4 linked regions of the Lepisosteus oculatus genome follow. The protein of the gene in region 1 interacts with the protein of each later gene in a pairwise test. Links are inferred from orthologs where the notes say so. Each region holds a gene or a part of one and is shown in the gene's direction. Other genes may lie near its edges.

The links.
Region 2: the proteins of trim54 (region 1) and SH2 domain-containing protein 1B2 interact in binary tests that used the Homo sapiens proteins (3 or more experiments, as listed by UniProt). The two-hybrid records come from large-scale screens. The link is inferred for Lepisosteus oculatus from reciprocal best matches to the Homo sapiens genes TRIM54 and SH2D1B.
Region 3: the proteins of trim54 (region 1) and klhl38a interact in binary tests that used the Homo sapiens proteins (3 or more experiments, as listed by UniProt). The two-hybrid records come from large-scale screens. The link is inferred for Lepisosteus oculatus from reciprocal best matches to the Homo sapiens genes TRIM54 and KLHL38.
Region 4: the proteins of trim54 (region 1) and leng1 interact in binary tests that used the Homo sapiens proteins (3 or more experiments, as listed by UniProt). The two-hybrid records come from large-scale screens. The link is inferred for Lepisosteus oculatus from reciprocal best matches to the Homo sapiens genes TRIM54 and LENG1.

The regions. Positions count from the first base shown.
Region 1 is NC_090697.1:57,978,544-57,986,656, reverse strand, and holds the start of trim54 (tripartite motif-containing protein 54), read left to right. Parts: upstream 1-4,913; 5' UTR 4,914-5,154; coding exon 5,155-5,322; intron 5,323-8,061; coding exon 8,062-8,113. Other genes in the region: dnajc5ga (dnaJ (Hsp40) homolog, subfamily C, member 5 gamma a), read left to right, coding at 550-653. UniProt on the Homo sapiens protein: May bind and stabilize microtubules during myotubes formation.
Region 2 is NC_090700.1:5,125,541-5,132,784, reverse strand, and holds the start of SH2 domain-containing protein 1B2, read left to right. Parts: upstream 1-3,932; 5' UTR 3,933-4,625; coding exon 4,626-4,822; intron 4,823-7,040; coding exon 7,041-7,104; intron 7,105-7,244. Other genes in the region: plcxd2 (PI-PLC X domain-containing protein 2), read right to left, coding at 2,437-2,548. UniProt on the Homo sapiens protein: Cytoplasmic adapter regulating receptors of the signaling lymphocytic activation molecule (SLAM) family such as CD84, SLAMF1, LY9 and CD244. In SLAM signaling seems to cooperate with SH2D1A/SAP.
Region 3 is NC_090705.1:7,784,192-7,791,731, forward strand, and holds the start of klhl38a (kelch-like protein 38), read left to right. Parts: upstream 1-4,228; 5' UTR 4,229-4,461; intron 4,462-6,681; 5' UTR 6,682-6,682; coding exon 6,683-7,540. Other genes in the region: protein FAM91A1, read right to left, coding at 93-244, 1,293-1,377, 2,391-2,462.
Region 4 is NC_090718.1:656,530-664,880, forward strand, and holds leng1 (leukocyte receptor cluster member 1), read left to right. Parts: upstream 1-5,039; 5' UTR 5,040-5,127; intron 5,128-5,151; exon of another isoform or gene 5,152-6,169; intron 6,170-6,474; 5' UTR 6,475-6,507; coding exon 6,508-6,732; intron 6,733-7,059; coding exon 7,060-7,227; intron 7,228-7,310; coding exon 7,311-7,588; intron 7,589-7,847; coding exon 7,848-8,052; 3' UTR 8,053-8,245; downstream 8,246-8,351. Other genes in the region: tmc4 (transmembrane channel-like protein 7), read left to right, coding at 1,615-1,798, 2,233-2,363, 3,119-3,274, 3,970-4,048, 4,355-4,450.

The DNA.
Region 1 (8,113 bases):
GACTTTAGTTTTGAAATGGGGTTTTCAAAATAGTGTCATGAAATATACTCTTCTCATTTTATTCCGTGCTTCCCTGGAAAGGACTCAAGTGAACACATGGGTGAGCTGTTTCAGGGGAGGTAGGTTTGCTCCTCAGTGCTTATGTGTTCTGAAGCAAGCTTTTTCAGTAGAAAATGACAGTGAAGTACATGTTTTTGATGCAACTGATTTGATTTGCATCCTTGTTTCCTCTGCTGTTCCACTGGTTCAAAGTGAATTATTTGGGTTGAACTTGGTCAAGATGAGTCATCCCTTTTCAGCCTGTGTTAAATCAACACGATTTAGAAGGAAGGTTTGGAGTGATTTCTAGTCATAGTGATTTGTTAAATCCTTACTTCAACTGTATTCTGTAAGCTGAAAACCTCATATCAATATCAAGGATAAAAAGCAATTTTGGACAGAACTGTGGAAGACAGACATGATTGTTGCGAAAGATAGGAGTGTAGTTGAGAGCTGTCCGTCTTTGCTCAGATGGTGAAATATGCCATCTAAACTTGTCTTTCTTTTCAGATACAAGACCTCCAATTGTGATTCAGCCACATTCCACAATCTGCACTTCAGAGTCCACCCAGCTTTCCACAGGCCAAAAGCTCAGCTACGTGACCGAGAACTAACTAGCAGCACCAGCCCTTCGAAAGACTTCCTACCTTGACGTTCGCAGATGCCAATACCTATGTGATTTCCCACACGTTTATGGTTAGGAAAGTTAATGGCATGTGATATGAAGCATAATGTGGCACTCTTGACAAAGAAAAAAAAATGTGTTGGGGAACAATTATTGCCACCATCAAAGTGTAATGTTGCTCTGGTATTGGAAAGCGAATTACTACTGTACCAAAACAGCCCAGTCAAGATGTGAAAGAGTTTCAGTTTATCAGGTCAAAACTTTGTCCAAGTGCCATCCTGATACTGTTGCATGGATAGGTGGATGTGCTCGTGTCTTAAGTGCATGTACCTGATGCATGTCCTCTGTTGTACGTTTTGACCTTGTGCCATGTAACAAGAATCTTTGCCGTGTCTGTAGTTCTCTGGAGTCTCACTTAAGAGGGTTTAAGTGTTTACAAGCTCAAGGTTGTGTTGCTTTTTTTTTCCTAATAAAAAGCAGAAATCACCCAGTCAACCTTTTTTTTAAATGAAAAAAGTAGCACTTTAATTCTACTTTGACCGTTCATTACATTTTGTAGCCCAAAACCGAAAGGTATATGTAGGTGCTATGCTAAAATATAAATGCTTGACCAAAATCAAAACATAATTGTAGTTTTTGATCAAATAACCACCTTGGTTTAAGACACCGAGATCTGTGCCAGTTCCTGAGTGAAGAGAGCATTATAAAACGGCCTCCTGCTTCTGGTACAGAGATCTCGTACCTGTCAGGCCCTCCGTGTAGGATTAAAGTACTTGATTTTAATGGAAATTGGATAAAATTAAAATAGATTTTTTTTGTGAGATTTCAGAGTCCTAAAGAAATGGTTCTGGGTTCTTTTCTACCAAAATGAAAATCTACAGGGCCTTTTTTTTGGAAACCAAAAAGGCATCATAATTAATGGAAAGGATTACCAGCGATGTGCTGGAATGTGTATTTACATTGTTTCTAATTAGTTGTATTGGGTGGATAGTCAGCCTTTGTGTAGTAGCTGTGGAAAGTGTAGTTTTTGGAGTGACTGAGAGGATGGCTTTCTGGGCTCTGGTATTGGTGCTGTACAGAGGCGACAGAGTGGCCTCAGGCTCCATTAGCCTTTGACTAGCAAGAAGGAAGATTTTGGTATGTTAGATATGAGTCACGCCAAGCTCATAGTCATCTGCAGGACGGGGTTATGTGTGCTGACCACTTTATGTCCACAACCTCTTGGAGTGCTGCTACTGAAGGAACTTTGTTTCTGGATTCTGGATCAATCAAAAGAGTTTCAAGCCTTTTGTACTTTTCTTTAAAGTAATGCTGTGTAGTCAGGAAGCTTCACTCGGACAATATATGCAGCATAAAAGACTGCTATGCCAAATGTATGTTTTTTTTGCTTTCTGTGCTACTTGCTGATAATTTAACACTGGTCTACTGTTGTAACAAGAAGGCCATTTTCTTCACATAAATGGTCTAAATGTTTTTGTCTCTGTCCTTAAACTATTGTGAGTATGAGATGAGCGAGGTAGATAACTATTTTTCAGTGCTAGACATTTTTATTGCTTGAACTCTAAACACAAGACTGTGTGCAAATCCTTCTAAGTCCTCCAGCTTATTCATAGTTTGGATATTTAATAAGTATAGTTTTCCATTACTTTTTTTGTACTTTGGGGAGCTGAGCACATTCAGTAAATTTCTGGGTTTTGGTGTCATTGCAGCATTTTTAACAAACTGAATGTTTGCCAAATACTGTTGTTGGCTGTCTTTTTGTATTTTTCAGCTGTATGTTGTGTGGTGCAATGTGGTTTCTCTAATTCTGTGGTTTGCCCATCATCTGTCCCCAAAACTATTTCATGGTTTTATTTAGTGATGATCATGGATTAGGAAACCTAGATTTTAAATGTTGGTCATTTTGATTTTTTTTGTTTTAAATGTGTTTCCATCATCTAACTTATCCCAAATAAGCAATTTAGTATACATGTATCTAGTCTATAAGGCCACTTTATATTGTGCCACAGAGCACAGTTGAAAATGGCAATAATAAAGTGCCCTGATTTCGTAATTTAATTTTGAATTGACTACCCACCTTGAAACCTGTAAATAACAGCATTTATACTTTTTTCATTTATAGTAAAATGCCAATTGGTTTTGTGTCATTAGATTTTGTTATTGATTTGTGACTGATGATGCAGCACTTTAGTGAAATACAGAAGTATCAGTGTTAACAGAATGAGTGCATCAATTAAATAACTTGTAAAACCACAAAGTGCAAAATCCACTTATCTCATAATTCACAGATTTCTTCTCCTGAAATCCGTTTTAAAAATGCACCATCTTAAACTATGTTTAAAGGCAGGGACTGCTGTCAAAAATAAATATTAAAATACCAGCTGCACTAGATGTTAGTCTTGGGCCTCTTTCTCGGGAAAAGGTTCATTCTAGTTAACAAATTTTTAATATGGTCGTGTACAACTGTTTAAAAAAGTAAAATAGATAATTTCACTGGTGGCTTAGAAGGTTTTGCTTTAAGTACAGTATTTACAGTTGGGACCGAGGTTCAAGCACTAGTTAGCTTTATTCAATTTTGAAATTTAACAATGTTTCTGTTTAAATCTATGTAACGGAGGTTATGGCAATCTGTTTGCAAATAAATCATACAATTAACAGTCAGCAATCAATCAATATTTTTGTGGAAATCACGGTTTTGTACTGGCAACTAGCAATCTTAACTACCAATAATTAAGTTAGAAAATGACAGATTCATCTCCACAAGATGTCAAGGCAGATATTTTAAGAATTCTTTCCATTTTAATGTTTACTTTTTAGTTTATATATAAAGTTTAATTTTAATGAATGTATTATGTTTATTGGCAGTTTTGGAGAGCTGACAGTAGCCAAAAAATTGGAATTGTTGTTTGAGGCTTAAGAAATAAGGAGTATCTATGGTAATGTTGGTTATGCTGGCAGAGAAGTCTGTTTGTTTTAGGTTTCTTCACAAATGTTGTGTAAAATACTTGTTTTTTTTGGTCTCGCTGATTATTGTTCCCTTATTTTTCTTTTTCTTATTGTTCCAAATGTCCTTATACAGACCTGACTTGCAAACATGTATATTTATACCACCAAATAAAGGGAGGGGAGGTGGGGTTTATATCAAGTTTGGTGTGGCTCATTTTTTCTTTCGTTACTTAGTGGGTGTCTTCAGAGTTCTGCTTTCAGGAGGCTAAGTAGTAGTACGGTAATAAGATTTTCTCTCTTTTGATTGAATTTTTCTTAATCTTCCTTTCGGAGTTGAAACTCTTGGAGTGTAGTTTTAGTAATAGTCCCTCTCCACACACAGAAAGAGACAACATCTCTATTAATAATGACTGTTAGTCATCAGTTGTACACCTCAAAGTGAGAGCTTTGAAAATTGCAATTCTGATGAAAGACTCAAATGACGTTAGGATCTGCTGGGTGTGAAGACGGAGTTGTTCCAAATCGGATTGGCTGTGTTCCATAAGATCTGGCAAATGATGAGTCATTAATTTTGGAGTCATAACGATTGTATTAATTACCATTTTAAAATGATTTGCAAGGTCAAAATTTGAAGATAAATATAACAAGTCTTGGACATGTGACCGTACGTAATCTGAAATGAAAAATGGATAAAGACATTTCTGTGACGTCTTGGAGATATTTTTTGGAATTGTCACTTGTAAATGTTTTAATTTCCAATAAGCAATGCAATGTTTTACTAGTTTTTTTTAATTAAAAGGGGGTTGGAGGGATAATATTTTCTGTTATAATCCACCTTTTGTAAACTTGTTAAATCACTCAACAGCATAAAGGCTGTCATCTTGCACTGACTTGTTTATATTTTGTTCAATTCTCAGGGCTGAGCTGAAAACCATGATAAGATTATAACCACAGCCAAAGCTTCTAAGGTCAGCTTTAAAGTAGAAATGTTTTTGACTGCTGGGAAGAAGCTGTGAAATATAGTTTTTAATTACGTACTGAAATACAATACTGCAGAGATTTGTTGCAGAGAACAAGGTGATTGAATTGTTAAAGGCCAAGGTTTCATTTGGCATCTCTGATCATGTCCTCTTGTCTTCCTCCCAGTGTTTACGGTTTAAATACTCCATGTCGTTGGTGCTGGCATTTCCAGCAGTCCCTCATGGCTCCGTGACTGAGAAACATCTGATCCAGGCCTGACAAATGGTCTGTCAGTCATTCCCCTTATCACATTTCAGAAGTTAAAAATGGAACAAGGAATGCTGTTCTCCCCCACATCTGAGTGCCATTGGCCAGAGGGGACATCCCAGTCCCTGTGTAGTGTGAGGTTTAGAGAAAAAGTAACTCTAGCCAGAACAAAGTGTTGCTAAAATAACAGAACCATTCTGTTGAAGGCATCGTTGAGGAACAGAGCAGAAGACTGAGGGCAAGAAAGAAATAGGAGGGAAGTGGTCGATAGTTACATTTAACGATTTTCAGAGAGTTGGCCGTGCACTCTTGAGGGGATGAACTTTGCGCTGGGCTACAAACCATTGCTGGGGGACTCGAACACAATGGACAGCTTGGAGAAGCAATTGATTTGCCCCATCTGCTTGGAAATGTTCACCAAACCTGTGGTGATACTGCCCTGCCAGCACAACCTGTGTAGGAAGTGTGCAAATGATGTCTTCCAGGTAAGGGTTTCTTTTTTTTTGTGTAAGTGACTTAGGATTTTCAACATAATGTAATAGTATTAAAGACAGTGGGTGCCAAAATGATGGTAAAGACAAGCTTCCCTTGACCTCTTTGAGGTCTCTTGGGCTTCAGTTGAACTTTTATTTGACAGTATCGCACAAATCATCTGTATTTTCTATCACAGAAGGAGTTGAGAGAGCTGGGTTTTGTATTTTTGGCTCAGTGGATGACGGGAGGACAAACTGTCTGTGAAGAATGTAAACATACTGTCAACACAGTCTCCCGTATGATAACTTAAGAGCCGAGGAGGCTGAAGTTCAACAAACAAAATACAGAAAAGGAAATTCGGGTTAGAGCACAATACACTGTTTGAACTAGCTTATCTGATTTTTTTGCAACCTTTTTGTCCTATTGGAGATTAAAGGTTGAACTAAGATGGTCTTTTTTCAGTTTCCTTCAGCACTCCAGAATGATAAATACTTCATTTCCATTTGCATGCCTCATGGTAGCAGTTCATGGTCGAGTCTTTCCTTTTATTTGTGTATGTTGTCTCACAAAGTTTAGATACCTGCTGGGTTCTTGGTTTCCCTCATGATATAGTTTTTGGTAAGACTACTTTCAAAGTCTAGAACAGAAAGGAACACTCAAGATGTTCTTGAACACAAATTACTGTCAGGCCTCACATCATGTTTCCGCCTTCCTTTCAGATCACTAAACTATTTTATTCTAAGGGCTGTGTAGTGCTTTTGTGGGTATTTCAGAGTGTTCATTTCCTTTCACCTATCAATTTGCTATTATAAATCAATATGTACATTATTTACATAGCATCATTTGAGAATGCACCTTTTCATAAATTGCTTTAACATGCCTAGAACATATATCTTACCTACAGTATAAGGAAATTTGTCTTTGTCTTCACAAGAGTTTATTGAATGGTGCCGCACTGGCAGTAGTAGGGCTCAACATACTTAATGTGAATCTGTGTTAGGTACAACAGCACATTTAATGCCGAGCAACAGTTTACACAGGGGGTGTTGTCACAGCTGCAAAACTGGCAAATTATTATATTATTCTATTTTATAGAGTCAGCTTACCTCTATTTTTAATAGGCGTGACAACAGTATTAGATGTAATAATTTTGTTATCAAATATATGTATTTTAAAATTTTGAGTTAAAGCAGATCAGAATAACATTATACTTCTCACTTTTGTTTACTAATTCTTCTAATTCCTGTGCAATTTCATATAGATTTACTGTATTTCATAGATTTTTTTCTAATTATTTTCTGTGAAGATTTGTGATAATAGGGTTGTGTGATAGTTATACCAATATGGATATTTACCTCGCCATTGAACATCTTTACCATCTAGCAAATAGAGGCTAATAACTAAGGTTAAATAATAGTTTGCATATGCCACCTGTTGATTGGCTCCAGTCTGTCTGCCGAATTATGCAGGGTGAAGACTTACAGGGCAGTTGGAGGGATTAGTTGGCCTACAATAACCCAGTATCACTATGGCAGAACTGTAAACTGGAATGAATTAAGTAGCTGTAGTGGGCTAGGCACAGAAAATCGATGCTGACAATCTACACCCACATATACATAACTTCTTTCCTGGGAGTGGGAGTTTAGCAGTGACCTTTGTGAAAGATGTCTAAGCAAGGTAACTCAAATAGCAAGTTAAAAGATGAACAGCTGGTCCAGGTTTTCCAACAAGACCAGCTTCGTACATCAGATGTAGGGTCTTCCATAATGCTTACTGTCACCCCCTGAGATGAAGAAACTTGACACTGTGAGTGACTTTCACATTCAAACAGACCGAAACTCCTCCTGTTTGAAAATTGAAAACCTAGTTATTTTTGAGCTCGGAAGAGACCAGAGGTATTTCAATACTAAGTGGGTATATTCTAATCAAAGGTTCAGTGCAATAATTTTTGTAATTTAGCTATTACAGGATAGCAGGTTGTCCTGTGGAGGGTTATACACAAACCAGCATTACTTCCCAATGTGCTATGTCTCAAGGATAGGTCTGTGTTTCAGGGGTCAAGTGATGGAATCTTTGGATTGTACAAGACCTTGACTCATCGACTAGTCTGTTACAAATTTGAAAAAACACAAAACAATTTGTGTTGATGTGTTAGCTTTATAGGCATTATCTTTCTTTTAGGTTTGTCTTCAACTTATTTTACCTATAAAATATAAAATTGTGCCAGGAAAGAAGAACCCATATGACCATGCTCAGATGACCATAGAGGCATTTTGTTTTATATTTAACATGTCATTTGATTTACATTATTACATTGATAAGACATGGCATAATGCTTGATTTAGAACATTAGTCACCCTAATTTATAATAGTAAGTGACAATGTGAGATCTGTTCATAATTAGCATGTCACAGACACCTTACACAAACATGTTATATACTTATATATCATATTTTCATTTTTTTTAATGAAAAAGACATCAGTACTGAAGTCTACTCAGCCCAGTGAAATGTCGTGCCTTAAACATACCCTTCATGTTGATATTTCTGGATTAAGATGCTGCACCAAAGTTTTCAAAAACGTTAAAGATAAAACCTGACAGTTGCACTCTCACTCTGTAACCATATGTCTACACTCTCAGGCTGCCACAGAAATAAAGCAGTGCTGGGTTCTAAGGAAGCTCCTAAACAAGGGGTACTGTTTTCCGGAGCTTTCCATTGGACACCAGGTCTTCCTTTTCCTCCCCACAGGCATCAAACCCCCTGTGGCAGTCAAGGGGCTCCGCGTCCATGTCAACAGGAG
Region 2 (7,244 bases), on another chromosome or scaffold:
CAGGTCCGTATTTCAGATGGGATGCTGCTGTGATCCCCCTGATCCAGCTTCTTCACTCACATTACCCCACTGAGTGTCAATGATGGGTCCTCAATTCTCATGGCAAAGGAGACATTGTGTACAAAATAAAGGAATAATAGAGGAACAGGTGGGACACAACAGCGATGTCCTGTTAAGCTCAGGAGTGTGGTGTCCTCTTTAACACGGGAACCTTCCCTGACACTGTACTGTCTGTTTTACCTTGCACTTCTCACTATCACCTTTAAATGTGAAACGTACTGCTTCACCAACTCTTAATGACTGTGCCCTGCATTCTGTGTGTCTTGCACTGGTCTGCTAGGCCTTTATTAAACTTTTATAATGCATGACTCAAGTACCAGCTGAAGCACCCATGCATAGCAAATAACCCCTAAGCAGAGGAGTACAGCAGAAGAGCACATCCATCATTCAGGAGTTCAAAATGCAATTACAACCACATAAATAAGTGAAGCTCACACGGGGGAGATGGGGACACTGTGTAGCAATGTTAATGAGAATTGCTCATTTGCCATTCAATAAAACTGCAGAACTGCACTGGGCTCAAACAATTATTTATTGAAATATGTTAAGATACAATGCATAATGCATTTCTTATGTTGGGTGTCCCTGAAAGAAGGGGGTGATTTAAAAAACAATTACCTGTTTTAGTCCTTTGTAAATTAAACAAAATTTGAAGGTAGTGCACCCTGCAAAACACAAGGTGGAGGCAGATTCATGACCTTCCATGTTACAGGTAACAAAACAGCTGTGCAGAGGGGGAAGGGGAGAGACAGGCTGAAAGATTGGGGTCAGCACCAAGACAGATCTCCCCCCTGCAAGATTAACATCTTAAATCCTCTTTAAACAAGCCACAGGAAGAAGACAGCTGTGCTCCTACTGCTCACACCCGTGGAGAAACGACAGGACGCGATGGGACTTTCTAAGAAAAGTGTCTGTGCGGCAGTGTACATTGTACAATCGGGCCAAAAATAGGACAGAACAATCCGGTGATGAAAGCCATTCAAATTCAGGTCAATAGAGATCTTAGACTGTGGATAAAAAGAAGCAAGCCTTTGGGACGACCACAATCAGGCACACTCACGCATGAGCATCTAGGTTAATTGCACGGAGAACAGAAATGGCCTTAAGTGCAGGCAGTACAGTACGTCAGCCCTGCCCATCTCCACTGCAGTGCACTCAAATCACACGCCAGGTCCTGAAGACACATATTGCAATCCATGGCCACCTCACAGGACCTTAGAAAAGATGTGCAAAGCTGCACCGTTCTGCCAGAAACAGCCTAATCTTCCCGCAGGGGACGAAAGTACGCTACAGAAAGTGTAACATTTTCACTGGCTCGTAATGAATAAAAGTAAAAGAGACTGCAGGAGAGGCTGTGTGAATCTCTATGAGACACGCGAGTCCTTGTCAGCTTCTGGACGGAGTCTGTTTGCAGGTGACCGGATACGATACTGTAAAACTCTTGCACATGCCTGTGAGCAGCCCCAGATCATGGGACAGCTTTTATCACGACAGCAGAGCACAAGCAGGACAGCACAGCGAAAACACCTGCGCCCTGATCGAAACCCGTGGTCGTGTTTTACTTTCAGTCCTTGTGCCGGCTGTCTTATATATGTAACAATATGAGAAGGGCTACAGACGAGATTATGCTATTTGCCGCATTCAGACCATTTGGTAGTCGGTAATCAATTGATCTGCGGGTCTGATCCTGCAGTTTCTTAAAAGAAACCAATCTAACAACAGGGCAGGGTAAGTTGTTGAATACTCTCACGACCCTGCGGTCACGTCCAAACCCATCGCTCCATCGTGGTGACTCCGAACGCCTTGTTGTTCGGCAGGTGCCAAGATATGGCACCATTAAGATGTGGCGCAGCTGGCAAAGCAATTTGCTGTTTGGTACATCTTCGCCTCGCCTGCTGTGTCTGTGGAGTCGGTGTGGCACTGCGCTTCGGCGGCGGACGAGCGCTTTGTTCAGAAGAACAGCACGAATGCAACTAATTATCATTAAAAACAGTCAGTCCGGAGATCAATCACAGCCTGGAAGTGTGTTCCTGTATCGCTACTGCGCGCCGTGACGCTTAAGGAATAAAGCAGTGAAGGGAATTCGAAAGGATATGATATGAGAGCATGTAATGGCCTTGGTCATTATATTAAAAGCATATCTCTTTTTTAACTCCCTGAAGCGCACTTCTGTCAAGACGCTCACAAAACGTGCGCTCTGCAGACACGGAGTGACTGTGAGTCAGTCTGACCTCCTGATCGCTCGACCTTCTGCGGTTCCGGGTGTTATCGTTTTCTTGAACGCTCTCTCTAAAGATCGCAGGGTAAAACTCCGCCAGCCCAGCCCCACGCCGGGGAAGTTCGGCTAAGGCAGATACGTCCGCCCGCTGTACGTACCTGGTACCGCTAAGTGCTTCAGAGGCATCGAGGACAAAGCCGGACAGAGGGAGCCCATCCAGTCTGCGTTAGAGCAGACACTGCCTTTATCCGCGATCTTCATTTTTCTCATCCAAATGGCCAAACAGTCTGGGAGAGATGACTGACACCTGTAGTGGTAACTACGTCGATATCCAGGCTAGATCAGGGAGACTGACACCCCGGGAACTCATTTCCCCTGGTGCGAGGGGCACCTCACCTGGGCTCCACTCAAAGGCAGCCTTCCACGGGACTCGGATCACCGGCAGCCGGGCAAACGGGCTTTGCTCACGTTAATCTCCTTAGTCCGAAATTACACTACTTATCCCCTAGATCAAATTTAGAAAACCTATGGGTCTAAGACAACTCAAGATCATCCCTCCCTTCTCTCTCCCTCTCACACAGACGTCATTGGGAAAAAAAAAAACCTCTCCTCTGCAGGACCGTTTTGCTTTACGCGATGACACTACACACCGCCGAGGCCGGTTAGAGAGCTCCTCCGTGTCAAACAAGGTTAGGATGTCTAAGAGTAGAACCGTAATGCACGGCGAGAGCGGTACTTACTCTTCTGAAGAGATGACTTTTCTGTTTTCTTTCTTAAATACCGCCGCTGTGTGGGCACCTGTAGAGCAAAAAAAAAAACAGATCAATATTGGAGCACGTGAAACGTATCCACCGCGGTAGCTCGAGCTACGGGCTAAGATCGTAAAAAGGTACATCATGGACACGACCGTCATCGGAAGAAGACACGGAGTTCCCCAGTGGCCCTGCCTGATGTTCACCAGGAGATGGCGCAGGAGGACCGCAGATCCGAGCGACCCACGCTCACGAGGGACGCGTGCGGTGCTCGGAAGAGCGCTGAAAGTACGACACAGCCTTGACTTTTAACTGTCTCTTGTTGGGGGTAAAACAGCGGCTAAGATATTCGTGTCCCGCTTCATCGCCCTTTGATTCATTACTCAGAGGCTGTGTTTTTTTTCTTTTCTTTCTGTGCCCTTTTGCAACACAGCCTTTTAAAACCCATCTCAAGGCGCCGGTTCTCTTACTGTGGAAAAACTCCCCAGCGGGCTGTTTGTAAACACGCCCTTGAATCATAGACGTCTAGATGGAAAACCTCATGGTGAGGTCTTTATAGCTTAATGGCGTTTAAATGTTCCTGTAATTGCCTTAATGCAAGACACTGTTCGTTTTTTTGTGTTCAGGTGAACTTTCTTGAAGTCATTTTCAAAAGGGACACCTGGAGCCGCGGAGCCCCGGGGCATCGTCTGAGCCGCTCTGGGCTCTGGAAACTTTTTTTCCCCACATTAAAAAAAAATTCAGTTCTGCCACTTCGCAGCCGCTGGATGACATTTAGAAAAAAAAAACGCAGCAGTTGGTGACATCCGTATGTAAAGATACAGAGTCAAGCCTCGCAGAATCGAAGCTACATGTTGTTGTTGTTTTAAAGCAGTGTACATTATACAAAAGAAGCAACGACTCTTGTAGGTCACGATTAGGAAAATAACAACAACCTTTGACTGCTTTGACAATAACATCTTGCCAGACCACTGTTGTGCCTTTCCCTGTTTCCCCATGAATAGCGGACTGCAGCAGCGGGCCAGACTAGGCTGGTGTACGGGCTGGTTTCAGACAGCAGGGGGCGCAGTGATGGCTTCCAGGCAGCTTGAGTGAATTGCTTTGTCGCCTTATTATTAACTTTTAAATGTAAATCATACAACCCCAGAATCAAACCCAGGAAACTGAAGCAACGAAGCAGGAGACAGAAGTTTTGCATCTAATACTCAGACAATTGCATCTGTATGTGAAATACTTTTAATACTAAGGACATTTAACTCTCAACAAGCCAAACCCCCTACTTAAAATGCTGCTCCCTAAATTTTAGTACTTAATTACCCTTTATTTTCATTGAAGCTTACATGACCAGATGTAGAGCAAGATCTGAACTATCATTGTCGGAACTTCCGTTTGAACCAGAAAATAACGAGTGCTTATGTTTCTGTTGTCTAGAGAGAGAGAGAAAAAAAAAAAAAAACAACATCACGGTTTCACAAATGAAAGCTGTCCAGCCTCTGCGACTTGTGGTAAAGTAACTCAAACCTATCCCTTATTGCTGAGCGCTGAAACGGGCGACTTCCTGTGTGAAAACCCCTGACCAGAAGCGCACTAGCACAATGATGATGCCACAGTTCGACTTGCAGCGCTGCAGCGCGGCTGGCATGCAGGTGTACGGGGCGATGGACTGCCCGGTGTATCACGGGAGCATCAGCAGGCAGACCTGCGAGGAACTGCTCTCCAAGAAAGGCAAGGACGGAGCCTTCCTGATCCGCGACAGCGAAACGATTTCGGGGGCTCTGTGCCTCTGTGTCTTGTAAGTACACACCGCGACGGGGGAGAAACCTGTCAGAGTCGGACTGTTCCTACGTTCTGATTTACAATTAGCCACTTAAGAAGTGCTGGTAGGCTTGAATGATTTGTTCCACATTTTCAGAATAAAAAAAATCACGGATATACTCGCATTGAAGCAGAGAGATGTAGAGAGATTTTATGGAACAAGTGTTCGGTACCTGCGCTTGATGTACAGAACACGCAGACATCCTACAAACTGAATGTTTGTACTGAAGAGCTTTTTTAAAAAGAAAAAAATCAGTGCTATGGAATAAAATCTTTAAATAAATTCTTTTGGAAGGCTCCTTTGTTATCTGAGAAGTTTAAAAGTCAGATACAAAGGCACAGATACAAATGGTATTGTAACGCCACCTGCTCTGGTACGCCGGCTCTTACACAGTACCTGTCGGCCGTAAGCGTTACACTATTATTTTTTCTTAATTATTGTATTCTTTTTTTCTCAAACACTATGTATGAACACAAAATGTACCCAACAAAGTCCCTATTAACAGGGCCAGAGCAGATTCACTCTTTAATAAGATTGGATTATTCTGTCATTCCTCAGGTTCAGCACTAAACACTTCTAAAGCACTCTTCTTGAGAAAATCCGTCTTTTATTTTTTGTGTCTTTCATGACGTTTTAGGTAATACTAAATACTAATACTAATGGACAAGAACTTCCAATATATTTTTATATCACCTTGATGAATCCAAAATGCCCAAAAAGATGGCTAACTGTAGATGTTTCCGAATGAAGATGCACCGAGAAGCACAGAGAATTTCAAAATTGCTGATCTCTTTCCTATAAATTCTGACTGCAAGTTTGTGAACACAACATCACACAGGAAGGTATCATTATTCAGGTCCTTCTTGGGGGAAAAAAAGTTTTTTAAGAGGTGTAATGTATGAACATTGTAGCCTGCCAGGAAGGCTGGGTCCTGATCTGAAACACACAGAATCCCTAGATCAGGACTGACAGACACCAACATTCCTAGATGTTCAGAGCTTCTGTGTCCACCTGTTTCCTCCATCCGTGGAATGCGTGTTTTGTAGTTTGCACTGTTCTATGTCTTTCCCTTTTTCCCTTTTTGTGAAAGCATTTTTCTGGGAGCAAATTTTGATTTGTAATCTTCAAGTGCTCTGGTTTGGCACAGCGTGAATCCAGGCTGCTGGGATTTTGGCCTCAGTAGCTCTGGGGAAGGTAGATTGAGCACAGCCTGTGCCCCTGCAGCTCACTCAGGGAGAGAGCTCCTTCTATACTGAAAACAAGCATGTTGCACGCTGTGAGAAACTGCTCTGTACTCACACCTTGGCTTTGTTTGTCACGGGTCATTTTCACAGCGTTGCTCTTCTAGAAATCAGGTGATTTAAAGAAAGACGTTACACAGCTTCAAAGCTGTGTTCATTTCACGAATGGTGATCAATTCCTTCTGGGGTTTGAAATTCTGCTTGGTGTTGCTAAGCTCTCTAGTTACAGTGATAATGCTTTAATTAAAGATCCTCCCCAGCAAAGACCCGTCCAGGCCCAGGGAAATCTTGGGATTGTGATCTGCAGTGTGTGCAGGTGTTATGTGGCCGTCATGCCATCCAGGTTTGATTAGTTTACTTCTGAATCTCGAAACTCACTTTTTGTGCTTAAATTGCGATGACTGTGGCGTGTGGCACTGTTTAGAGCAGTGGTTCCCAGTCCTGATCCTGGTGACACCTGCTGGTTTTCATTCCAACCCACCTTCATGGGATCATTGAAGCCTCACTGGATCTAAGAAATTGCTTCAATTGAATATCTGCACTTTGTTTGGAGTCACACATATGGGATTTTATTTCACTTACAAAATACAAAGGTTAAAGTTCCAACATGTCTAAGAGCTGGGAGCAAACAGTTCACATGAATCTGATGATAAATCTGATTCATCTGATTATTAGCAAGTCAATGAAGGGCTTGATTGTGGAGCTGAAGGCTCGACTGGAACAAAACCAGCAGATGTGTGTGGGGCACTGGGACCAGGACTGGGAACCAGCCCTGTCGTGGGGAATGAATGGTGACAGGATCTGGAACATGTTTTATTAGAAAACATGGCACATTTGTTGATCGTGAAGCCAGTCTGAGGAGGATAGATTGGGGAGCTATCACAGCGTGCTGGCGAGCTCACACATGAAGACGTTCCCGCTGCTGAAACTCTGTCTTTTTGTTTCCTGTCCAGCAAGAAGAAAGTGGTTTACACATACCGAATCCTCACGAACCACGCTGGATATTACACCTTACAGGTAAGTGACGGACACATACGCAAGCTGTCTGACACACGCACGGAGCACAGGCAGCCCGCAGAAATGAACAGTTCACGAGGGAATCTGAAATACACCAGTACTGTGAAGCGCGTGTGACAGAGTAGAGGTTGTACCGGGAA
Region 3 (7,540 bases), on another chromosome or scaffold:
GAGATACAGCGGGGATACACTTCGAAGAGGTTATGTATTCCAAACCCCTACTGTTTAAAATACTGCCAAGCCCCACCCACTTTCAGACCTACCTCCATTATTCCAATATAGTAGGAGAAGGGAGTAACCCTCAGGCCCTTGACCATGATGTCAGACAGATGGTAAGGGTACAACATGAGATGCTCACGGCTGTACTTCAAGAGCTCTTCGTAGTACTTGCGCTCATCTTTCTTCACATGCCTCACTGCATAAAAGAGGGGGAGGGCATTTTTTTAAGGTGTATGCAACATGCAACAGCAGCATCAGTGGCTACCCAAAGGATTTGTATAAACCCGTTAAATACTAACATTAAACATTAAACATTAAATACATACATTAAACACCTTTCTTTGTCAGGATCACCAAAGCATTTCATCCGATTTAATCATTCGCCAGACAACTGCGTCCCGAAGCGAGATTGTGACAAACTGCTCTTCCTAAATGAAATGAGCGCATCTTGTATAGTGTCCTTATGATCTCCAGTGCAAAGACATCCAGTCTAATCACCCAGACAATATAGAAAAATATACATTCTCAACACAGAAAGCAATGACAACAATAGAGGGCCTCTAAACCTGTTCTTGGGAAACCTCTTGTCTCATCGTTCTGCTGTTAAGGTTCATTACTGGTGCCTTTGCTTTGTTTCTCTAATGTTTGCTCAAGCTGCTGAAAGGGTGCTTAAGCTGAGCTCCTGGCTTATGACCCATTTGGCCCTTTCTTAAGGAAAGCAAGTGCCTAGAGGATCCAAAATAAAAAGCCACTTTGGTACATTAAATGATTTAAAAATTGCACTCCAGTATGAAAATATTTGAAACACATTTGAATCGCCTGAAGCAATGAGGGGACACTAGTAGATGCATGACGATATTTGAAATTATACAGATAAATACATAACCTAGTTGGAAAACTCCTGGAGAATCTGTAGATTCCTCTCAGATCACTGCACCAATAGTCACACAGACAAAAATATACAGACACCCACTGCAGAGCAGATGGATACATTTCAGGTCTTCCAAGGTGCCAAGTGCTGATCCAGCACCTTCCGTTGGTTGATGTGTTCAAAATCAATTATTTTATTTAATAAATAAATAATGCAATGATTTTAATTTAATAATTAAAATAAAATCATTTAAAATAATTTAATGTTATCGTTAAATCAGATTAAAAGCAAACAGTAAAAATGTAGTGTAACTCAAAATTACATTTGTTTGTTAAACTAAGCTTTAAATTCAAAACTAATAGAGTTAACTTACCTAAGTTATTTCGGAACCGCAACTGGTTCCGGATACTGTAAAGAAGGACATGTTTCTCATACTCTCGCTGTGAGTTTCCGAGACTCTGTGGAGAACAACGAGGAACAAGTAATTTAAAGAACGAGACAACAACGTCATGTTTGATCAGGGGCTATCTCATTAGCAGAATGTCTGCGGGCTAGGTACTGTAGGGTGTTCAAGGTCTGGTGAAGATCTATGAACAAATAGTTTATCGCAAACAAAGTCGCAACTTATTTTAAAATGCTTCAATTAAGATTGAAACTTATATAATTTACTCTGTCGAAAAGCAAGGTGTTCAGGCTTAAGGTTAAATAACGTTTGCGATGACCTCTATCTCATTTCTTTTTGACGCTTTAAGTCATATGATCTTGTTTTCAATGGCTTATTTTTTTGTATCGCCATAATAAAGCGGAGGTAACAAATAAAAAAGCACATTTCTTCGCCCAAAATAAATGGATGCCTGTTCTATTCTAATACGATGTAAATGCGCTGTATAATTAAATTCCTCTTTAAAGATTTAAACGTATTTTAAATGGCACTCAACTCCCAGAAATCTCAGGAGACGCAAAGATTAAGGCAAAGGTTTTCTGTCTGAAGATAACCTAAGCATTTCTTTACTTCATCCTTTAAACTGAACGGTGTTATCCTTTTTTGTGGTATGGATTATAAATCTAGTTTTGGAATTGGAAACGGAAAACACGGAGCAAATAGACCGCATGTTCTTTCGAAACTGATCCTTCTGAATCGCCGCTAAACCCTCTATTACATTACATTAGGCAACGATGCGCGTTTCAGACAAACAGGAAGGATCTGGGATGAAGACTCCATGCATCGCGCTGATTCAAAACATAAGCAAACCAAAGAGCGACAAGGGATGACATCCGACGGGTCACCCTGAACGAATCTGTTAATGTTGTTGTTTTTTTTTCCACATGAAAAGCAAAATCACTCAGTCACGAAGCAGACAGTTCTTTCAACGAGTGCGGGCACCTCGCGTTTAGTTTATCTTCGTACTGTCTGGATCAACCCCCACACACGCTTCCCCTTCCTATGGATGGAGTGTCAAAGATTCTGTACCTGTTTGACATTAGTGGGCAGTTTGTTCCACGGGTAGTTCTGCCTGATGTGAAATTCCACGTCTGTATTCATGGTCTCAGTAAAACACAAGGCTTGTAAATCGGCGAGGGCGTTTGGGTAACACTAATATTACTCAACCCCCATCGGCTTTAAAAATTAAAAGCAAATACTGTCTTAAAGTTCCATATTTACCCCGTCCCGATTTTAGGCTGTTCTTTCTTTAATCGAACTTCCTTATTATATTTACAAGGAAACGGTCGTCACCGCTGCTTTCGTCATTTCCGCCCTCTTGGCTCGTGTCGGGAATATCTATGGTAGCAAAACAAAAAAGGTGAATCTGTGGAGCGGTGTTTGTCTCCAGCAACTTTCAGAAGAAAAACTGTTTTCTTCACAGAGCTTAGCGTTTGCGTTTCACATGTGTGTTATTACGGCTTTATATGATTATGTCCTGAAAGTAAGGTTTACGTTGAATAAAAGTGACTAAAATTCTGCTTGATTTTATTTAAGAATACCTCAGTATTTTGGAACTATACATGCATTTGAAATAAAATACGTTTTTTGAGTTCCTCCCCCCGATTCGTAATTATTAACGTTTATATTATGTACCGAAATATGAAAATAAAAAGCAAATCTTCATTGATTAGACTTTAACCAAAAAAAAAAACGGTAAACGCCAGGGGGCGTATGTATCCACAATAAATACAAATAGAGTATTTCGATTGAAGCTAACGGGAATAAATATCACACATCAACTGTACAGCTATACAATTCGCAAAGTCTTTTACTGGTGGCATTTACATTTTTCTGATAATTGATTTATATATTGAAGTTAAAATAGTCCTAAATGTCCCGATAATTCATTTTCATCGATTGACAGGGTATTTTTATGTTTTTTCACGTCTGCTTTTCTGGGAAATGCTCTCTCTCTCTATGTTCTGCAAGACTATTTTGTTGATATGCTCAAGCTGTGGCAAACACTGCAGTGAAGAACACTTATGAAAATTAGACGGAAATCTCTATCTAAAATGCTCTGAAGCCTATCAGATATATCCTTCTGCATCACTGGCACAGTATAAATCATTCTTATTGAATGTGGTGAAATCTCTTCACAAGCCGTTTTTACTAGGAGTCCAGAGAAACACAGGTTATAGTCAAGCAAAGACGCATAAGAACTGGGTGAAATAACAAAACATACAGTATCAGTAAAACTGCAGGACTATAGCCCCTGGGGATCTGGAGTCTTAATATCTTTGTCACATCATTATTCCCATATTCCAGTTTAGTCCAATAATTAATGTATTTGGCTTTTGGTTTTGTCCCAAAACAACTCACATTGGTGCCCATTTAAACAGGTGGGTATTTTCCTAGCATGAAACAACTAACTGAAGGGTACAACAGCAGCTTCCCATCTGGGACTTGAACCCACAACCCTCCTGAACACTACCCTGCAATACCAGCTGAACGAGCAGAGATCCCCCCCTTCCTCCCCCGGCCTCCTGTGAAGAGGTAACCCAGGGCAGTCAAGCCTGGCACAGCTGTCCAGTCGTCTCACGCTGAACTTTAGGCTCTGTTTACAGACAGTCTGCACACCCCCCCCAGTTGCAAAAGCCGGTGGGGAGTGCCGCGTAGTTTCCAAGCCCCAGGCCAGCTCCTCGGATAACTGGAGTGTCTGTTTATACCCCTGTAAACACGGGCAAGCATGACCGAAAGCTTCTGTCGAGGAGCAACGAGTTCCAGTCGCAAAAACAAGAGGGGGTGGGGTCATGTGACCTCGCTGGCACGCGCTCGCAGCGGTATTCTTAGCGCCGGAATGTATACAGTGGCCTCGTGGTAAGAGCCTGGCCCCTAATCACAAACATCGCGGCACCTTCTTCATAAACACGGCCGCTCTGCATGGCCTGCTCCAGACGTTAACATAAAAATGTGAGGGTGGTTGGGTGTTTTGTTTTTTGGGGTTGTTGTTGTTGTTGTTGTTGTGGTGGTGGTGGTTTCCTTTTGTCCGACGAACTTTCCACAAGTGGAATCAGATCTGGACGTGTTGAAGAGAAGGAGAGGCCAGGAGACGATCCAGGTAAAAGCTGACGAAGCTCTTCCGAATCGGAGGTGTAGAGCAAGCATAGCTGAACGAAACTCGGAGCTGCTTTGTTTTAGACCTTTAGTTGGTGACAGACGCAATTTTTTTCTGCTAAAAGCTTTGTAATATGTCCCTCAAAGTGTCTTCATATCTAGTCAAGTGCCGAAAAACGTTCAGCAGTAGGATAGGCTTCTAGGTAAGAACATGGAATTGATCAGTAATTTCCACTCACTCCTTAATTTATTTTTTTCCATTGGCAAATGCAGGTATATTTACTTTGTTGAGAAATCTAATTATATAATGAATATTAATAGCTATGAACTCTGTTGCGCTGTGTTAATTGGTCTGGACAGCCTTCAGGATGGTTCCAGATTCCTTCTGTGGTTTGTGTTTAAATAAGAATTGAAAAAAATGCCTAAAGTTTGCATTACCCAATTATTCTACTGCTTCCTTTTAAGGCACAAAAAAATCATACTGTAGTAAAGATATTCATGTAAGGAAACTCTTTGAGTGTATGTCTATAAACTTCCTTTCGCTCATCGTCCCCAAACAGCCAACATTTTAGGGCAGAACAACGCTCAGTTTTCCCCACAGTTTTTGTATAAAAGACAAAGCATGAACACATGAACAAGGAAGAATTACATCTGCTACTGTAAGCTGCAGTATCACTAAACTAAAATGAACATCTGGTAGCAACGACACTCGAGCTCCCCTGCTATTTCCATGCAATATAAAGCACAGGATATTTCAAGTCTCCCATGTGTACAGTACTGTATATTAAAAACTTCACTGGCATGTGTGTTTATGAGGTAAATGTCATAAAAACAACAGACAATTAAAAACTCAATATTTGACTTTTTTAGGCTGTGTAAAGGAAAGAAATCTTAAAGATTAATTCACAAAAATTTACAAGCTACAGGAACTGAGAAGGTACAGGTTAGAACTGCAACCAGTAGGTGGAGGGAGTTGCTTATTTTACACACATTAATTCCATGCTGGGTTTGTATTTATTTGTTGTTCTTGTTATTCATTTCCGGGGCTTGTGTGACTGCACAAACAATGTGATGATTTTCATTTCATTTCTGCAACTAAATAACTTGAAGAATATGAAGAACATAAGAATGTAAGAAGCATTATCCCCCATTTATCTAATAACCCTTTTAACATAGAACTTTTCTGTTAACGATCCATGTGTGCTAGCTCTAGTGCGGAAGTTATTAAATTGATCATCACAATAGCAAACACCATGCAATCCCAGAGAAGTGGCTTCAGCAGACCTACTGAGCATGCTCAGGGAAGCCATCTTGGATCTCTCCACCAGACAGTTACATTATTCCGCAATTCTTGGAATGATTATTACCAGATGGGAGGAGAATAAAACTCTCACAATTGATAACGATATCCCTGACGTTTAACAATGGAGTGGAACAACCATTGCCTGTTATTAACGCCTTCTTTTATTTACGTCATTAAGTGATCCCTGAAAAGTCAAATGCTAATCTTTAATAAAAATAGTGAATATACAAAAATAACAATACAGATGAGACTGTTTTAGTCCCGTCTTGTATTACATTACTGTCCCAGAGGGATAAAGCACAAGCAAACTGCTGGTGATAGCAGTTCTGTGACATGCTCACTTTTAACACTGGACCTTTCAAGGACAAACTTATAAAGGCTTGAGTAACTGATGAGACATGAAGTAACAGGATTTAGCCAGCTTACGTGAAGTGATTGAGCCAAATGTCAGACAGATGTGCTCAGATGATTTAGGAGAGACGGACTAGACAGCAGAGTGTTGATATTGTTCACTCAAGGACAGCATGAAAGTTGAATAATTGGGAAAGACTCACAGACCGCTAAGCCAGTGTGAGGCCTGGAAACAGATGACCTTGGAAGGAATAGCAAGGTCATGATGATGAATCTGACATTTAATATGAATGCCAAAATAAAATTTAAAATTTAACACTGCACTGCTTGTGCCTTCACTTAATGGATGTTGTTATACAAAAGCACCGTGATTACACTCACTTGGCCTCAACTCATAAAAGAATGTATTATATTTCAACTCCTTCTGTGTAAGCCTTAGGTCGGTTTTCTTTTTGAGTAAACAGAATATTTGAGGCAAATGAAACCCAACTGCCTGAAATTCTGAAACATAAGCAAAGGGACCCTTATCTTTAAGTGACACAAGCAATTATCTTTTTTTTTCCTCCTCAGAATGGAAAACGTGATACCAGAGGCATTTCATTTTAAGGATAAAGAGCACCCTTCTAATCTTCTCTCACAGCTGGACGGTTTAAGACAAGAGAGGATCCTCACTGACGTACTTCTGTGTACAGGTGACCGAGAAATTCCCTGCCACAGAATTGTTCTGGTTTCTGGCAGCCCTTATTTTAGGGCCATGTTTTGCGGCGATTTCAAAGAGAGCCAACAGGCCAAGATAAGCATGAGGGGCATTGCTTCAGATGTTCTGAGCAGTATCATCGACTACGTCTACACAGGTTGCATTGTCATCACTATGGAGCTGGTCCTGCCACTGATGCAGGCAGCGTCCATGCTGCAGTACCCCCGGCTTTTCGACGCCTGCTCCGCATTCCTGCAAGAGCAGCTGAGCCCGGACAACTGCCTCAGCATGATCCGGCTGTCGGAGATCCTGCACTGCGAGAGCCTGAGAGCGAAGGCGAGGGAGGTGGCGGTGTGCAGCTTCTCGGACGTGACCGCCTCGGAGGACTTCCGAGAGCTCTCCCTGTCCGAGCTGGAGGGCTACCTGGGAGACGACCGGCTGTGCGCGGAAGAGGAGCAGGTTTTCGAGACCCTGTTGGCCTGGATCCACCACGACCCCTTCTCCCGGAAGGGCGCCATCCACAACCTGTTCCAGAAGGTGCGGCTGCGGCACGTCCACCCGACCTACCTCTTCCAGTTCATCGCCAACGACCCGCTCATCCAGGCCTCCCCGCTCTGCACGGACATCATCGAGTCCGTGAGAAGGCTCATGTTCTCCGTGAGCGCCAAGTGCGCGAGGGAGCTGAGGCCCCAGTGGGCTGCCCCCCGCCGCTACCCCTGCCAGGAGATGCTG
Region 4 (8,351 bases), on another chromosome or scaffold:
GTGTGTGAGGAGTGTTTCTGGGGTCTGTATTAATCTCTCTGTGTAAGGAGTGTCTCTGGGGTCTGTTTTAATCTCTGTGTGTGAGAAGTGTCTCTGGGGTTTGTATTAATCTCTGTGTGTGAGGAGTGTCTCTGGGGTCTGTATGAGGGTCTGTATTAATCTCGGTGTGTGAGGAGTGTCTCTGGGGTCTGTATAAGGGTCTGTATTAATCTCTGTGTGTGAGGAGTGTCTCTGGGGTCTGTATTAATCTCTGTGTGTGAGGAGTGTCTCTGGGGTATTAATTCATCTCTGTGTGTGAGGAGTGTCTCTGGGGCTTTATTACTCTCTGTGTGTGAGGAGTGTCTCTGGGGTCTGTATTAATCTCTGTGTGTGAGGAGTGTCTCTAGGGTATTAATTCATCTCTCTGTGTGAGGAGTGTCTCTGGGGTCTGTATTAATCTCTGTGTGTGAGAAGTGACTCTGAGGTCTGTATTAGGGTCTGTATTAAAATCTCTGTGTGATGAGTGTCTCTGGGGTCTGTATGAGGGTCTGTATTAATATCTGTGTGTGAGGAGTGTCTCTGGGGTCTGTATTAATCTCTGTGTGTGAGGAGTGTCTCTGGGGTCTGTATTAATCTCTGTGTGAGGAATGTCTCTGGGGTCTGTATGAGGGTCTGTATTAATATCTGTGTGTGAGGTGTGTCTCTGGGCTCTGTATTAATCTGTGTGTGAGGAGTGACTCTGAGATCTGTATTAGGGTCTGTATTTATCCCTGTGTGTGAGGAGTGTCTCTGGGGTCTGTATCAATCTCTCTGTTTAAGGAGTGCTTCTGGGGTCTGTATTAATCTCTTTGTGTGAGAAGTGTCTCTGGGGTTTGTATTAATCTCTGTGTGTGAGGAGTTTCTCTGGGGTCTGTATAAGGGTCTGAATTAATCTCTGTGTGTGAGGAGTGTCTCTGGGGTCTGTATTAGGGTCTGTATTAATCTATGTGTGTAAGGAGTGTCTCTGGGGTATTAATTCATCTCTGTGTGTGAGGAGTGTCTCTGGGGCTTTATTAATCTCTGTGTGTGAGGAGTGTCTCTGGGGTCTGTATTAATCTCGGTGTGTGAGGAGTGTCTCTGGGGTATTAATTCATCACTGTGTGAGGAGTGTATCTGGGGTCTGTATTAATTTCTGTGTGTGAGAAGTGACTCTGAGGTCTGTATTAGGGTCTGTATTAAAATCTCTGTGTGAGAAGTGACTCTGAGGTCTGTATGAGGGTCTGTATTAAAATCTCTGTGTGAGAAGTGACTCTGAGGTCTGTATGAGGGTCTGTATTAATCTCTGTGTGTGAGGAGTGTCTCTGGGGTCTGTATTAATCTCTGTGTGTGATGAGTGTCTCTGGGGTCTGTATTAATCTCTGTGTGTGAGGAGTGTCTCTGGGGTCTGTATTAGGGTCTGTATTAATCTCTGTGTGTGAGGAGTGTCTCTGGGGTCTGTATTAGGGTCTGTATTAATCTCTGTGTGTGAGGAGTGTCTCTTGGGTCTGTATTAATCTCTGTGTGTGAGGAGTGTCTCTGGGGTCTGTATTAGTGTCTGTATTAATCACTGTGTGTGAAGAGTGTCTCTATGGTGTCGCAATCTCTCTGCCTCTTCAGGATGATTGTGGATCACTGCTCTTGCAAGCTTGCTCAGTGGCTGGGACGTCAGGAGTTTGTGGTGCCCCAGAATGTCCTCAGCCTGGTGTACGGGCAGACAGTGGTGTGGGCGGGTGCTCTCTTCTGCCCCCTGCTGCCACTCATCAACACTGTCAAATTCGTCATTTTCTTCTACTGCAAGAAGGTAGAGCTGTTCATCATCTCTTCTTCACTGGGACTGAGCTGTGTAACAGCTCTTATTGTAACAGACTGTTCTACTGTACTGGGACTGTAGCTCCTATTGTAACAGACTGTTCTACTCCACTGGGACTGTAGCTCCTATTGTAACAGACTGTTCTACTGTACTTGAACTGTAGCTCCTACTGTAACAGACTGTTCTACTGGGTCTGTACTGAGACACGGAGATACGTGCTGTACCAGGTCTGTACTGAGACACAGAGACAGTACTGTACTATAGTGTTCAGTCAGTCAGTGTCTCTGTGCTGTAGTGTCCAGTCAGTCAGTCAGTGTCTCTGTGCTGTAGTGTCCAGTCAGTGTCACTGTGCTGTAGTGTCCAGTCGGTCAGTCAGGGTCACTGTGCTGTAGTGTCCAGTCAGTCAGTCTCTGTCTCTCTGTCAGGTCACTCTGTTCCAGAACTGTCGTCCAGCCTCTCGGACTTTCCGCTCCTCCAGCTCCAACCTCTTCTTCCTGCTGGTGCTGCTGCTGGGACTGGTGCTGGCCTGCGTGCCCCTGGTGTTTGGCCTGGCCGCGTGAGTGACCCCCGTCCAAGGGCTGAAACTACAACACCCAGGTCCCTTCAGGGCCAAACACCCAGCCAGCAAAACACAGCACACTCTGCAGAGCACTATGGGGGCTGTAGTCCCCGGGCTCCAGTCTCCAGCCTCTATCTGGCTCCATCCCCCATAACCCTCTGGGCACCTGACCAGTGGCTGAGCCTCCCACTGCAGGGCCTCATGGGAACTGTAGTTCCTGGACTGGACTGCGCCTCGTGTTCCAGGGTCATCCCACACTATGAATAACTTAACTTCCCATAGTGCTTCGTGACAGTCTGGGTACATCGTGCTGAGAGACCCAGGAGGACAGCAGAGCTTTGTAACGCACCACCAGCAAAACAGAAACATGAGTAATAATAATGAAACAGTCAGTCAGTGTCTCTGTGCTGTGGTGCCCAGTCAGTCAGTCAGGGTCACTGTGCTGTAGTGTCCAGTCAGTCAGGGTCACTGTGCTGTAGTGTCCAGTCAGTCAGTCAGGGTCACTGTGCTGTAGTGTCCAGTCAGTCAGTCAGTGTCTCTGTGCTGTAGTGTCCAGTCAGTCAGTCAGGGTCACTGTGCTGTAGTGTCCAGTCAGTCAGTGTCACTGTGCTGTAGTGTCCAGTCAGTCAGTCAGTGTCTCTGTGCTGTAGTGTCCAGTCAGTCAGGGTCTCTGTGCTGTAGTGTCCAGTCAGTCAGTCAGTGTCTCTGTGCTGTAGTGTCCAGTCGGTCAGTTGTCTCTTCCCCTCTGGCAGGATCCACCCCTCCTGGGCCTGTGGTCCTTTCCGCTCTCTCCCTCAGATGTGGGCGGTGGTCTCTGTGTCGAACGCCTCTCTTCCTCCGTCTGCACAAGATTTCCTGCGGTTCCTGGGCTCTCAGGCGTTCGCTGTGCCTCTCTTCGTCGTTCTCTGGTGAGACGCCTGTTCACGTGTCCATCTGAGACTGTCTGTCCTGTCTCTCTCTCTCTCAGTGTGCTGTGGATCAGTGCTGTGTAACCTGTCTCTATCTGTCTCTCTCTCTCTGTGTGCTATGTGACCTGTCTCTCTCTCTCTCAGTGTGCTGTGTGACCTGTCTCTCTCTCAGTGTGCTGTGAATCAGTGCTGTGTGACCTGTCTCCCTCTCTCAGTGTGCTGTGTGACCTGTCTCTCTCTCAGTGTGCTGTGAATCAGTGCTGTGTGACCTGTCTCCCTCTCTCAGTGTGCTGTGTGACCTGTCTCTCTCTCTCAGTGTGCTGTGTGACCTGTCTCTCTCTCTCAGTGTGCTGTGTGACCTGTCTCTCTCTCTCAGTGTTGTGCTGTGTGACCTGTCTCTCTCTCTCAGTGTGCTGTGTGACCTGTCTCTCTCTTTCAGTGTGCTGTGTGACCTGTCTCTCTCTCTCTCTCTCAGTGTGGCGCTGTGTGACCTGTCTCTCTCTCTCAGTGTGGCGCTGTGTGACCTGTCTCACTCTCTCTCAGTGTGGCGCTGTGTGACCTGTCTCTCTCTCTCTCTCAGTGTGCTGTGTGACCTGTGTCTCTCTCTCTCTCTCTCTATCTCTCTCTCTCAGTGTGGCGCTGGGTGACCTGTCTCTCTCTCAGTGTGCTGTTTGACCTGTCTCTCTCTCTCTCAGTGTGGCGCTGTGCTATGTGGCGGCTCTGGCCTCAGTCTACGGACAGAGTGTCTCTCTGCTCCGCGCTCAGATGCAGCTGGTAAGTGTGAACCAGTCCGGAGGAGGGGCGTGTCAGGGGCTGCTGCTGACCTCTGACCTCCGACCCAGCTTGCCGACGCTGCTGTATCCCCGACTCCAGGAGTGAGCAAGCAGAGCAGCAGCGCTCGGTACACAAACACCCCAGTACCCCCAAACCCCCATGCGCATGCCCTGAGCTGCGCTCTGACCTCTGACCCTGTGGGTGTCGATGCTGCGCAGCCCAGCGAGACCCCCGCCGCACCCCAGTGTTACCCCACTGCTGGGGGTGTTTGGGGGTCCCGGCTGCTGAGGGGTCCTGTCTCACCAGGAGGGGAAGGACAAGCAGTTCCTGGTCAGACAGATCGCCGAGCTGGGCGGCCCCGGAGCAGTGCACGCTGGGCCGTCTGAAGGCGCCGCAGAGTGACCAGTGACCGGAGTGACCAGTGACCGGAGTGACCAGTGAGCAGAGTGACCAGCCCAGGCTGGATCTCCGGGCTTTGACAGCGTGTTTAACGACGGTGGATGGCGTGTGTTTCTAAAAGATTCTTCAGGAGATTAAAACGGTTTAGAGCTGTAACCTGGGTTTTGTTTGGCGTGTGGCTATAATTAAATGAATAATAATAATTATTATTATAATTATTATTATTTTTATGGTGAGCTCCCCAGGGATAACATGACAGAGCGGTAAGGATTCATAATAATAATAAAAAATCTCATCTCGCCGTTCGCGGTTTGGGCTCTGGATTCAGCGCAAATCGGGTTTGGGGCTCAATGTGTGCAACGTTACCGACTTTTACTGGGTTTTATTTTTCCAGCTGGAGGCGGTCGAAACCGAGAGAGGCGGAGCCCCCGGGTCGGCGCGGCTCCGAGCAGCGCAGCCTTTCACTGGCGCAGAGCTGAGCAGCTAAAACAAGACATGTTCCAGTCGAGGCCAAGTCGAGCGCTGCGTTTGTATCATTTACTAGATGTTGGAAATGCAAGCTTTTTTTGTATCTGTTTAGAAAAATACAAAATACGTATACACTGTATGCATTAAAAAAACGTACAGAATACAGAAGTTCTGGCGGAGCGTTTTGAGCGCAGTTTGGCTTTCAAGTGCAGGTAGGAAAGAGTTTCTGATCGGGAAAATAAAAGCGGAAATCCGTAAATATGCTTTTAAAACATCACTCCTGAATAAAATAATTAACATCTCCGGGGCGTTTAAAATCCCCGCGATCGGTTTGATTTCGATTTTGAATCGCAGTGCCTTACTCCCGAAATATTCTCCGATCTGCACGAATCGCCGGTTTCCTGTAAAACCGTGGTTTTCCGATGCACAGCGGCGCCTAATCCATCACCTGAGCTGAGCGAAAACCACACAGCCGCTTCTACGCGGATCTGTAGCTGCAAGCGCACAAAGCGATATGTAGCTGCGCTGTTGAGTGTGTTTTGCCTTGTTTTATTGAGAGAAACTTTGAAAGTGAGATATACGCACCTTGCAGCGGTGTCGGCGGCGGCTCCAATTGCAAAGCGGAACCCGACGGGGGGCGGGGTCAAGGGGGGGCGGGGTGTTGCCGCCGGACAGGCCTGGCCAATCGGGAGGCGAGCGCGGTTGTCGTAGACCAATCGGGAAAGGCGGAAGGTGGGGCTAAGGGGAGAGGCGCGGAACTGAGCGCTGCGTGACGGAGAAGACAACCAATCACAGGACAGAACCGGGGAGGGGAGGCGGTGCTCTTGACATAATGTCATCCAATCGAAGCCCCGCGGCACAAAAAACACGGAAATGCCGCCTAGAGGAAACCCACGTTCTTTAAACGCTTTGCGTCTTTCCCGACTAGAAGACCCTTGGCACTGCCGAGGTTTGTTCGGTAGGAGTGTATCCCATGTTTTAAATATGTGATTAGATCACTTTAAGACGTTGGTTAGGGTAAAAAGAAAGATTTCGTGTGCACCAAGGAAATAGGCGGACCCGCGCTACAGACCGACGGCGTCTCCACTGGCGACGAGTGATTGACGTCAACCTGAACCAATCGGAAGGAAGAGAAGCGAAGGCGGGACGAAGAGGTGTGGACCAATTGCAGCGCCTGATACGACAGGAAGTGCCTGTGGTTTCGGCGGACACTGCGTCACCGCTCCTGTGTTTACAACATGGAGGATTCCCTCGGTGAGCGGCTGATATGAATTTGTATCAAGTGTTTTGAGCTCATTCCGTGAGACTTACGAGCGGCCGGGACTCGCGGACTCGTGAGGGAGCAGGGAAGTGTGTGAGAAAACCTTTTATTGCGCTCAGATTGCGTTGGGGCTGTGAGAGCTGTGGTCTGACGTTGCGGCGATCCAGCCGTTCGCTGGGGCTCCGTGAAAGGTTCCTAGCCACTCTCCTGCTATTAAATCACCGGTTTGTTTCTGTTTCGAGTTCAGTGTTGTCTGCAGAAATGTTTTTGTATTGCGATTTCCCCATGCTGTTGGCAGGTGGGTAAACCCTCGTGTTCGTGTTCTCCGTGAATGAGCTGGAAGGGGCTCGTGTGCACCCGAGTGCTGCGGCGGACGCTGCCGCAGCTGGTTCTGCTTGTGAAGGAGATTAAAAGTCGCGGAATCATGAATATTCTGCCCAAGAAGAGCTGGCACGTGCGCAACAAGGACAACGTGGCCCGCGTGCGGCGGGACGAGGCGCGCGCCGCCGAGGAGGAGCAGGAGCTGCGCCGCAGGGTCGAGCGCGCGGAGCAGGAGGTAACCATGACAACAGCCGCCCCTCGCTGTAGGGGCCGGCCCGTCCCAGCATGCAGCGGGAGCCAGGCGGGGTATCATCATGGGGCAGGCACACGCATGCGCACACTCTCTCGTACTGACACACACACTCACCCCAGCTCGCACTGGGGACAGTCTTCCTAGAAACCAGTTTAACCCGGGTGTCTTTGTCTTGGGGGTGAGACCCACACAGACAGTGGGGACACATACAACCCAGTGCAGCGTCTCGTGGTCCGAACTGTCCTGTCCCCCAGTATAGTCGGGGGGCCTGCTGGTGGCGCCCCCTGCTGACAGCTCTGTGTCTCTCAGGCCCGGACGGAGCTCCTGAGGAGGAAGTCTCGAGCTGCGCTGCCCCAGGGCGAGGAGGGGCACGAAGGACAGGCGCCGCTGGTGGGGCACCTCGACCTCTTCCCCCCGGAGGAGGGGGCGGAGAAGCGAGGGAACGAGGAGTACCTGCGGGAGAAGAGGGAGGAGAAGGTGTGTCCGGCGCCGCGGCTCCGTCGGCCCGGTCCGAGCGCCCCGCCTCTGTCCCGGCCGCCAACCTGTCCGTCTTCCCGCAGGAGCGCCAGGAGCGCGCCATTGGCCTGCTGGTGTCGCTGGGCCCCGCCCCCGGCAGCGAGGCCACGCCCTGGTACCTGGAGAGGCGGGTGGGGGCGGAGCCGGGGGAGGAGCTGGGGGCGGGCCGGGGGGAGGGGGAGCGAGAGAAGAAGGACCGGAGGCTGAAGGCGGCGCTGGACCCCCTGAGAGACGTGGACCGAGCCCTGCAGACGAAGAGCAGGCGGGTGGAGAGGAAGAGGAGCAGGAAGAGGGAGCGAGAGCAGGAGGAGGGCGGGCAGAGGTAAGGGCTTATGCGTCAGGTTAGAATCGGCAGCTCCCACCGGAGTGAGAGTCAGGTGGACACAGTGAGGTGTACAACCTCTCCTTGCCATCACACAGCAGACCCGATTCCCAGTCCAGCCCAGCCCAGCGCCACGTTCTGAGACTCCGAACGAGGCAACAGGACTATTTTTTCTGTAACGCCAATGGATGTGTTTTGTTGCAGTAATGTGATAACTGGTCTGAGAAATGTCCAGTGTGCTGACCGCTGTGTCCCTCAGCTCTCTGGACAGGCTGCGGGAGGAGCGCGTGCGGAGGGAGGCGGAGGAGAGGCGCCGGGCTCGGGCCCTGCTGGCGAGCCGGGCCGAGGGGGAGCGGTCAGCGGCGCAGGAGCCGGACGAGAGGGACAGACCCTACAACAGCCAGTACTGTCCCCAGCTGGCTCGGCGGCCGCGGCGCAGGGACGGGGATCTGGGCCCCCTGTGAGGAGGGAGTCCAGTAACGCCCCCCTGCAGCCACAGAGCAGGGCTCCTGGGTGAAGACGAGAGGAGAACGGGGCACAGACCCCTGCAGCCACAGTTTCTTCCAGCTCTTCTTGGATTGGCCTCAGCCACCCACCACTCTTTGTGTAAAGACATTTCTTATCCTGCGCCCTGAATAAATTCCCTTTCAGGTTCCAGCTGTGAGTCTGTCGTTGTCACTCCTGGGTTAACGCTCCCTGTGGGAGGTGGGAGCTCCGGTCCTGGGGAGGGGTACCTCCTGTGGGTACAGCCCACTCCAGCTGC